2 linked regions of the Xenopus tropicalis genome follow. The protein of the gene in region 1 binds, or shares a complex with, the protein of each later gene. Links are inferred from orthologs where the notes say so. Each region holds a gene or a part of one and is shown on either strand. Other genes may lie near its edges. The genes, in order: clspn and chek1.

What was found.
Region 2: the proteins of clspn (region 1) and chek1 are in contact, whole or in part, in a crystal structure (PDB 7AKO), measured with the Homo sapiens proteins. The link is inferred for Xenopus tropicalis from reciprocal best matches to the Homo sapiens genes CLSPN and CHEK1. Residues at the interface, in NP_071394.2 of Homo sapiens: Glu938, Leu940, Leu941, Leu943, Cys944, Ser945, Gly946; in NP_001107593.1 of Homo sapiens: Lys53, Lys54, Cys57, Met61, Arg129, Thr153, Val154, Phe155, Arg156, Tyr157, Asn158, Arg160, Glu161, Arg162.

Annotation. Positions count from the first base shown.
Region 1 is NC_030678.2:81,812,764-81,816,593, reverse strand, and holds part of clspn (claspin), read left to right. Parts: intron 1-1,269; coding exon 1,270-1,342; intron 1,343-1,877; coding exon 1,878-1,978; intron 1,979-3,384; coding exon 3,385-3,546; intron 3,547-3,830.
Region 2 is NC_030683.2:74,045,430-74,049,259, forward strand, and holds part of chek1 (serine/threonine-protein kinase Chk1), read right to left. Parts: coding exon 3,699-3,830; intron 689-3,698; coding exon 587-688; intron 1-586. UniProt on the Homo sapiens protein: Serine/threonine-protein kinase which is required for checkpoint-mediated cell cycle arrest and activation of DNA repair in response to the presence of DNA damage or unreplicated DNA.

The sequences.
Region 1 (3,830 bases):
CTCCTGTCAGTCTGATATTGACTTACTATGCCTGTGACAGAGTGCTGCAAATGTAACATAACAGTATATTAGATTTGTCATATGCTGAGTCTTCCTTGCAATGGCATAGGCAAACAGACATTAACCAATGCAACTGGTTAGAGTGCAGGAGCAACCAATGAATTGGTCCAATATGAAATAAGTAAGGGCAAAGCCTGGACATGATGTAAGCATATAGGAAGTTCTCAATGTGGCAGGTTCAAAATAGGCCACTCCCATCCCTTCAGAAAATTGATTAGAGAGACAGAAGGACTGATTTAAAGGGGTGGTTCACCTTTAAGTTAACTTTTAGTATATTACAGAATGACCAATTCTAAGCCACTTTTCAATTGGTCTTCATTATTTATTTGTTTTTATTTATAGTTTTTGAATTATTTTCCTTCTTCAAACTCTTTGCAGTTTTTAAATGGGGGTCATGGACTCCAGCATCCAAATAACTATTGCTCTGTGAGGCTACAGTTTTATTGTGGTTACTTTTTGTAACTTTCTTTTTTTATTCACGCCCTCTCCTATTCATATAACTTGGTAACTTGGACCCTAGCAATCAAATAGCTGCTGAAAATCCAAACTGTGGAGAGCTCCTAAACTGAAAATGAAATAACTAGAAAACTACAAATATAAAATGAAGACCAATTGCAAATAACTCTCTACGTCATAGTAAAAGTTAACTCAAAGGTGACCACCTCTTTAACAGGTAAGAAAAGCATTGTTGGTGGTTTAGTAAAATTTAGACCCTGAAGGTGAACAACCCCTTTAATCTCTCTCATGTACCTGGCTAGCAAGGCTTTCTGAGCCCTCCTATCTTTCTTTGGGTTCTGACAGAGATCTGACCAATACATACATTCAGACATTTTGGCACAAGCAATCCTTTCCTCTGGCTGTCAGTACAGCACTAAAATCACAAGTGGTAGAGACACTGCCTGCAAAAGCCAATAAAAGTTTACTTTCAAAATGGTTTGAAATAAAAAAAAAAAACACACCCTTTGTGCAGGTTTACGTTAATTTTGTGTGTTTCCTTACAATTAAATTGCTTTACTTCTTTTGTCCTAATTATTGATAAAATTCCCAGGCAATCAACTCTGGCCAAAGTGTCAAAAATGAATTTGGATTCTTAAAAAATATCATCAGCATTTGGGGGGAAAAAGGTTTCTTGACATGTTTAACCTTATAACTCCTTGCCTGCCTACTTTTTCCTTGTTATAACCTATACTCCTCCATGCTGCTTTTCAGAGAACAAGAAGAAGGGGAGGAAGAAGAATTTGGTGAATTCAAGCTATTACCCTGTGATTCAGAGAGTGACAATGTGAGTTTCTTTATGAACAGAAAATTAGTGTACATTTAAACCAAAATCTTTTGTATCTTATCCAGTGGTGTATGTTGCCCACAGCTGCAATTAAATAGCATTTTAGCCACTTTGCTTACTGGCCAACTCCCAACCTAAAGGCATGTCACCAGAATGTCTGAAATTGCTTTTAAACTGCCAGTCGACAATTTTTTGGCAGTAAGGACTGCATGGTGGTGCTGACATTTTCAGGTTACTGCCATTGCTTGCAGTGACCTTTAAGGTCTTTGTTGGGCAAAACACTTGTGTGATATAGGCCAATGGAAACGTATAGCACAAGATGATAAAAATGCCTGTTACAGGTTTTGTGTACAATTTTAAAAAGACAGTAGTTATATAAATCAATTGAAACTTTTTGATACTCTTAACCTGCTTAAAGTGTTAATATATAAAAGCTGACTTTTGTCAGCTTTTTTGTTAAGGTGTAGCTAGATATTGACACTCTGCAATAACCTTTTAGAACTTGTGGTATTTAATGCAACTTGTTACAACATAGGATGAAAATAATGAAGAGGAGGAAGGAGAAAAGGATAATGAAGATAATGAATATGAGGAAGATGAGGATGAAATTCTGCAGCAACAGCAAAAGAGAAAATTGTAAGTAAATATTGTTATAGTGAATGGTAACTTGGTTATGAATGGCACAACAGTACCTCCTGTTTTGGTTATGATGGTAATAATGAGCATCTAATTTTTTAGCAGGTTTTCGTTTATTCAAAAGGGCTAATTCCAATTTCTGAAATATGCTAAACTCTAAGGGGCAGATTTTTTAGAATGAGTTAAGAGCTCAATACATAAAAACTCAAGTACTTTCTATTCATTCCTAAGGATTTTTAGAGGCTTATTTATGAATAGGTAAAAGTAAGAATTTGACCATTGATAAATACGCTTCTTAAAATGCCATAAGAATGAATAGAACTTAGGTGCGTTTTTTATGTATTAAGCTCTAAACTCACATTTTGATAAATCTGCCCCTAAAGGTTCTGTTAAAAGCATAACTCTTTACAAGGGCATTTGATTTTTAGAAACTTGCATTATGTGGTGGTGTTAAAGCGGCCATGTTTTGCCCACCATTGAATCAGGCACCTAAAGTTTCTTATTAGGCTAGTTAGGGTTCTATTCCTAGAACCCCAAACCTCACCCTATATTCTTATTGAAATAGTGGCTATATGAGCATCTTAAAGAGAAAAAAAAATCTCATTAATTGTCCTGCAGGTGAAGACACTTCCAGTAACTGCTTAGGAGAAGTTTGGAAAATTATACTAACACATTTCCTGTCATTACCTCCACTACTTACCTGTATCAGAGCAATTAATGTGCACATGTCTGATTGGGCTGGGCAGTGCATAGATCTGATAGACTGGAGGTCAATGAAAACAGTATCTTTAGCCTGTTGGTGCATCTGCTTAAATTTGCACTGTCATGCAAAATTGTTTTTAAGATCCAATTCGGACTGAGACAAGCCCAGAGAAACTCTGCTTTTGCTTTTCTTGCTTCGGAAGGGTAAGCATTAAGTTGCAATTTAACAGCTGACAGACCTGCAACACTTAAGATGTGTATTGCTTTCCCCTCTTTAGGTTAATGCCACACAAAGCGTATGGTGCATATTATGGGGAGTATACGCCCCATACGCTTAAAGATCCCCCTACCTGTGCCTGCACCCAAATTTATTGAATACGCTCGGGTGCAGGCACATGTAGCCGATATCCGACTAAATACATGAGAAAATCAGGCACATGTAGCCGATATCCGACTAAATACATGAGAAAATCAGGCACTGCCACATCTATTGATGCATGGGAAACCTGAAGGTGCTGCCATTTCTGACCAGGCATTAGCTACAGGGTTCCCTCAGCTTCCCAAGAAAAGAAAAAAAAAAAGCTGTCTTCATTGCATTTAGTATATGTTAATATGTTGTATAATTAGGGGTCAGTGTTGTAGGTCTTGTATTGTCCAGTGCTGCAGAACTTTGATATATTTTGTAAATTTGGTCTGTGTTCCAGGCGGCTGAAGGACTTCATGGAAGATGAAGCAGAATTGTCGGGAAGTGATGTAGGTAGTGGAGATGAGTATGAAGGAGATGATGATGAATATGAGGAAGAAGCCATAGATGAAGATCTCCCATCTGATGAGGAACTGCAGGATCAAGTCAATAAAATTCATATGTAGGTGCTTACAGTTAAATTGTTATATACAAAGCCTTGCAAACAGTTTAAATTGTTCTTACATGCAAGCAATTTGAATAATTAAACTAGTCAAATTGGTGTTACCCTGCTTACAAATACATGATTTGGGCTTTTATAATAAAAAAAAGGGACATAAACATTATCTGCACTTGGAAAATTAAATAAACATTTTATCTTTTTTACACAGACCATGATACTCATACAGTCAATTTTTATTCCTCATTTATGTGCAGTGTCATGCAATCCCTTCCCTAACTTTTTCC
Region 2 (3,830 bases), on another chromosome or scaffold:
TACTATGCACTATGTATATTATATAAGATATCTGTGCAGTTTGTAGAGACATAGGTAGTAATGTGTACCCTGCCTCCAAATTATACCCCAGTGTTACTGTATCCTAGGAGATTATGTGAAATAAACCAAGGCTTTTAAAGGCTGCATTTTTCATATGTACACAATATGTACAATTTAAAAAATACTAAATAAGAACCTATTTACCTGTAAGTAATAGATAAGATAATCAAACTTTTAGTAGATTTTTATAAAAGGATAAGAACAGTAAGGATCATTGGGGGTGTTAAGATGTTAGGCACCCCCCTTTACTGCTAAAGGTGGCCAATGTTATTAATACATGAACATAAATATAAAAACCAATGACTGCAATACATAGTGCATTCTAGCAGCAATGGCTGCACTGAAAGTTAATACACAGTCAAAACTGCATGTGTAAGATTTTAATTGCATGTCGCAGAACAGAGAAATCTACTGTGATGGTAGTCAGTTACTTGCGAGCCACAGGCAGACAAGGGGTCGACTATAAACACACTTTTAGATAGCTGGCAGCGTAGCAGTAACAGAAAACCCAAAGCATTCAATATACCTTAGAAAGTCTAAAATCTAACAGAATCCTGTCTTCCATTTCCACAAGGTTCACCTTGAATATTAATTTATTATTTCTTCTGTCAGTAGTTGATAGGGTGACCTGTAGTAGACAAAAACAAAGTACCTAATTATACAGATGCAGTTTTTTTCTTGAAAAACAAGTATACTAATAATGCTTGTATTAACTTACTTCATAATGTAATTGTATTAACAAACAATTAGACTACATATTATAACAGTCCTTTAAACAAAAAAATTATCGCATAAGCAACCAATATTCTTTTCTTCCAGTTTACAGCACATGCTCTCATCTGCTGTCAGTTACCCTCTGTACAGTTAGGGGCTGTTATGGCACATAATACGCTGTCAGGGAGCCAGGTTTGCAAAAGCTGAGTTGGCAGGCGAGAAAATTCATATACATTTTTTTCATTTTGGGGTCTCTACATAATGCATACTTTGAAGCACCATATGCATAGATATACCAAACCAACAATTCCTATTTTCCTAATCAAATTAGGAATTGTTGGTTTGTTAAACAGGTAGCGTAAACTAAAGAAAATTGATTTAATTCTCTAGCACATAATTATTTATTCATTGCTCTGTGTATGTACAGGTATATGCAAAATATGTGTTTGCACTTGCACAGTATGTATGTGAAATGTAATGTTTCTTTTTGGGTGGGCCTTTAATTTGCAATTTTGTCTCATTTGTATACTCCGTATGCAAATGTGATAACAAAGCTGGAGACCTCTGGCATTCATATTTGGGGTAAACTGCTTTTGTATGTAAGAAACTGTGTAAGATAAATGCGTCATATTGCAACATTTTTAGACAGATTGGTACTTTGGTAAAGACGCCTTTTTACACCAATGTTGAAACTGTCAAAATGTGTACTTTCCAAAAACATATTGTTTTCCGTAAGCTTCTGTACAGTTAGGGGGTCTTTCATATATACAATATGCAGTCATGGGGCTCGTTTTGCAGAAATTAATTTTGGCAGACGAGAAAACTTCATTTGGCAGACGAGAAAACGTCATATGCTTTATATTTAATTTGGGGTTTGTACATTTCACATACTTTGGTATATCTATGAATATTGGGCATAAAACTGTTCAGTAGACTTCTGGTGTTCATATTTGGGGTGATTTGCCTTTGTATGTAAAAAAAAACTGCAAGATAAATGAGGCTAATTGCAAGATTTTTAGGCGATTTTTAAAAATGCTTTCAGAACCGCTAACCTTACAAAATTTGCGCTGTTTCTAAAATATATGGCTTTCAGAGGTCACCCTACTTTTTTGCAGTTTGTACCACACATAAAACTGCCAGTGTGTTTATGGATTAGGTGAATGGAAGTCATGAAATTAGTGCGCATAAGGTATATTTTGGGGTTCCTGAGGGCCATGTGCTTTGATAAACCTATGTACAGTGAGCATCAAACTGTTCTGTAGACCTCTAGGGTACCTAATGACCTGTAGGAGATAATATGCTGGAAGTTTTGAGGTGATTTTTAGAAAGTTCATCAAAATCAAGACGTTTAGGAAAGAACTTTTTTCTAGGTTTACCCCACTTAAAATGCTGTCAATGTGTTGATTTTGCAGTAACATGACAGATAATATGGCAAATAGAATCAGTTAACATGCGCTTACACAGTGAAAATAGCTTTTTGTAGCCCCAGGTGCACGCTGTACCCACTGCCCGGGCAAATAAGTACAAAAATGATGAAAACAGCAGCACTCCGGTTGTTTTGAAAAAATTTGAAACTTTACAGTGCCAAAAGCAACATTTCAGGCTTCAATCCAGCCCTTTATCAAGCCTCTCATCTCATCACCATTTATGGGCCTCTAAATGCCACATACTTGGGTAAACCTATACACATCTGGTATCTGGTAACTGTTCAGTAAACCCGTGGTGTTCATAGGAATAACAAAAAGAAAAAAAAAACCCATAGACCTTTGTGTTGAATACAACAATAGGCAGAAACTATGTTCAGCACAAGCCCTATTCATAGATGCTGAAAAGGAGGTAAACTGCCCCTTTATATGTACTGATTTTTGGATAGTATTTCTGGACAGTATCCAGTGACTGCTGTCTGATAAAAAAATGTGCCATGTTCCTAATTTGCCATTTATGATTTAAAGAAAATTAGTAAGCTCCACCAATTATACTACAGCTATGGGATCGCTTATCCAGAAACCATTTATCCAGAAAGTTCATCTCCCATAGACTCCATTATAAGCAAATAATTCTAATTTTTAAAAATGATTTCCTTTTTCTCTGTAATAATAAAACTGTACCATGTACTTGATATCAACTAAGATATAATTAATCCTTATTGAAGGCAAAACAATCCTATTGGGTTTATTCAATAAATGATTTTTAGCAGATTTAAGTTATAGAAATCCAAATTACAGAAAGATTCCTTATCTGGAAAACCCCATATCCCGAGCATTCTGGAAAACAGGTCCCATACCTGTACCTAAATTGTTATTCTGACTATTTTCCCTGGCCTCACTCCAGCCAAAAATGTAAACACCCTGAGGTTTCAGTTTCAACAATTGCTGCTTGTGTTGAAAAGCCAAAGATCTTAAGGGTCTATATTACTTGTACAAGAACTATTACCCCAAAATATACCTCAGAGCCAAAAGGCATTGTTAAAATGGCAACAGAAATGTAAAAATTTCAAACATTAAAAAGCACACCTTTACGTTTCGTTTACTGCTTTTTTGAAGAGCAAGTTTCAAAGACCTTTAAATCTTTTCAGACTACTAGAATTGGCCTATCATTATTGCTTTTACATATCAACTTTTATTGAAAAATTAAATTTTACAGTAATAGCTTAGAGATTGATTAAGATCACCTTTGATCCTTCAATCGTCAAGACAAAAACAGTCTGCAAGGTGTATGTACATTTTTGACCCATAGGAAATAAGATTGTTTTCTAAAAACAAGGATAGAAGAAACTAATGTACACTTTTTACTTTTATAGTTTTTTTGTGTTTACAATAAATAGTATTTTTGTTTGTTTTATATGCTTTTTCTTGTTTACTGGGGTTTTGGAAAATGTAAGCCTAAAATCATATGATTAGAAGCTTTATTGAGGGGGTACTCACCTGGTTAGCACAAGACTTCTTTAAAACATATCCCATTTTTTCACAAGTGTCCATCAAATTGCTGTACGAGCTTTCAGCATCCACTTTTGTAAAGAACCTGGTCATTCTTTTGACCAAACGTTGCCAAACATT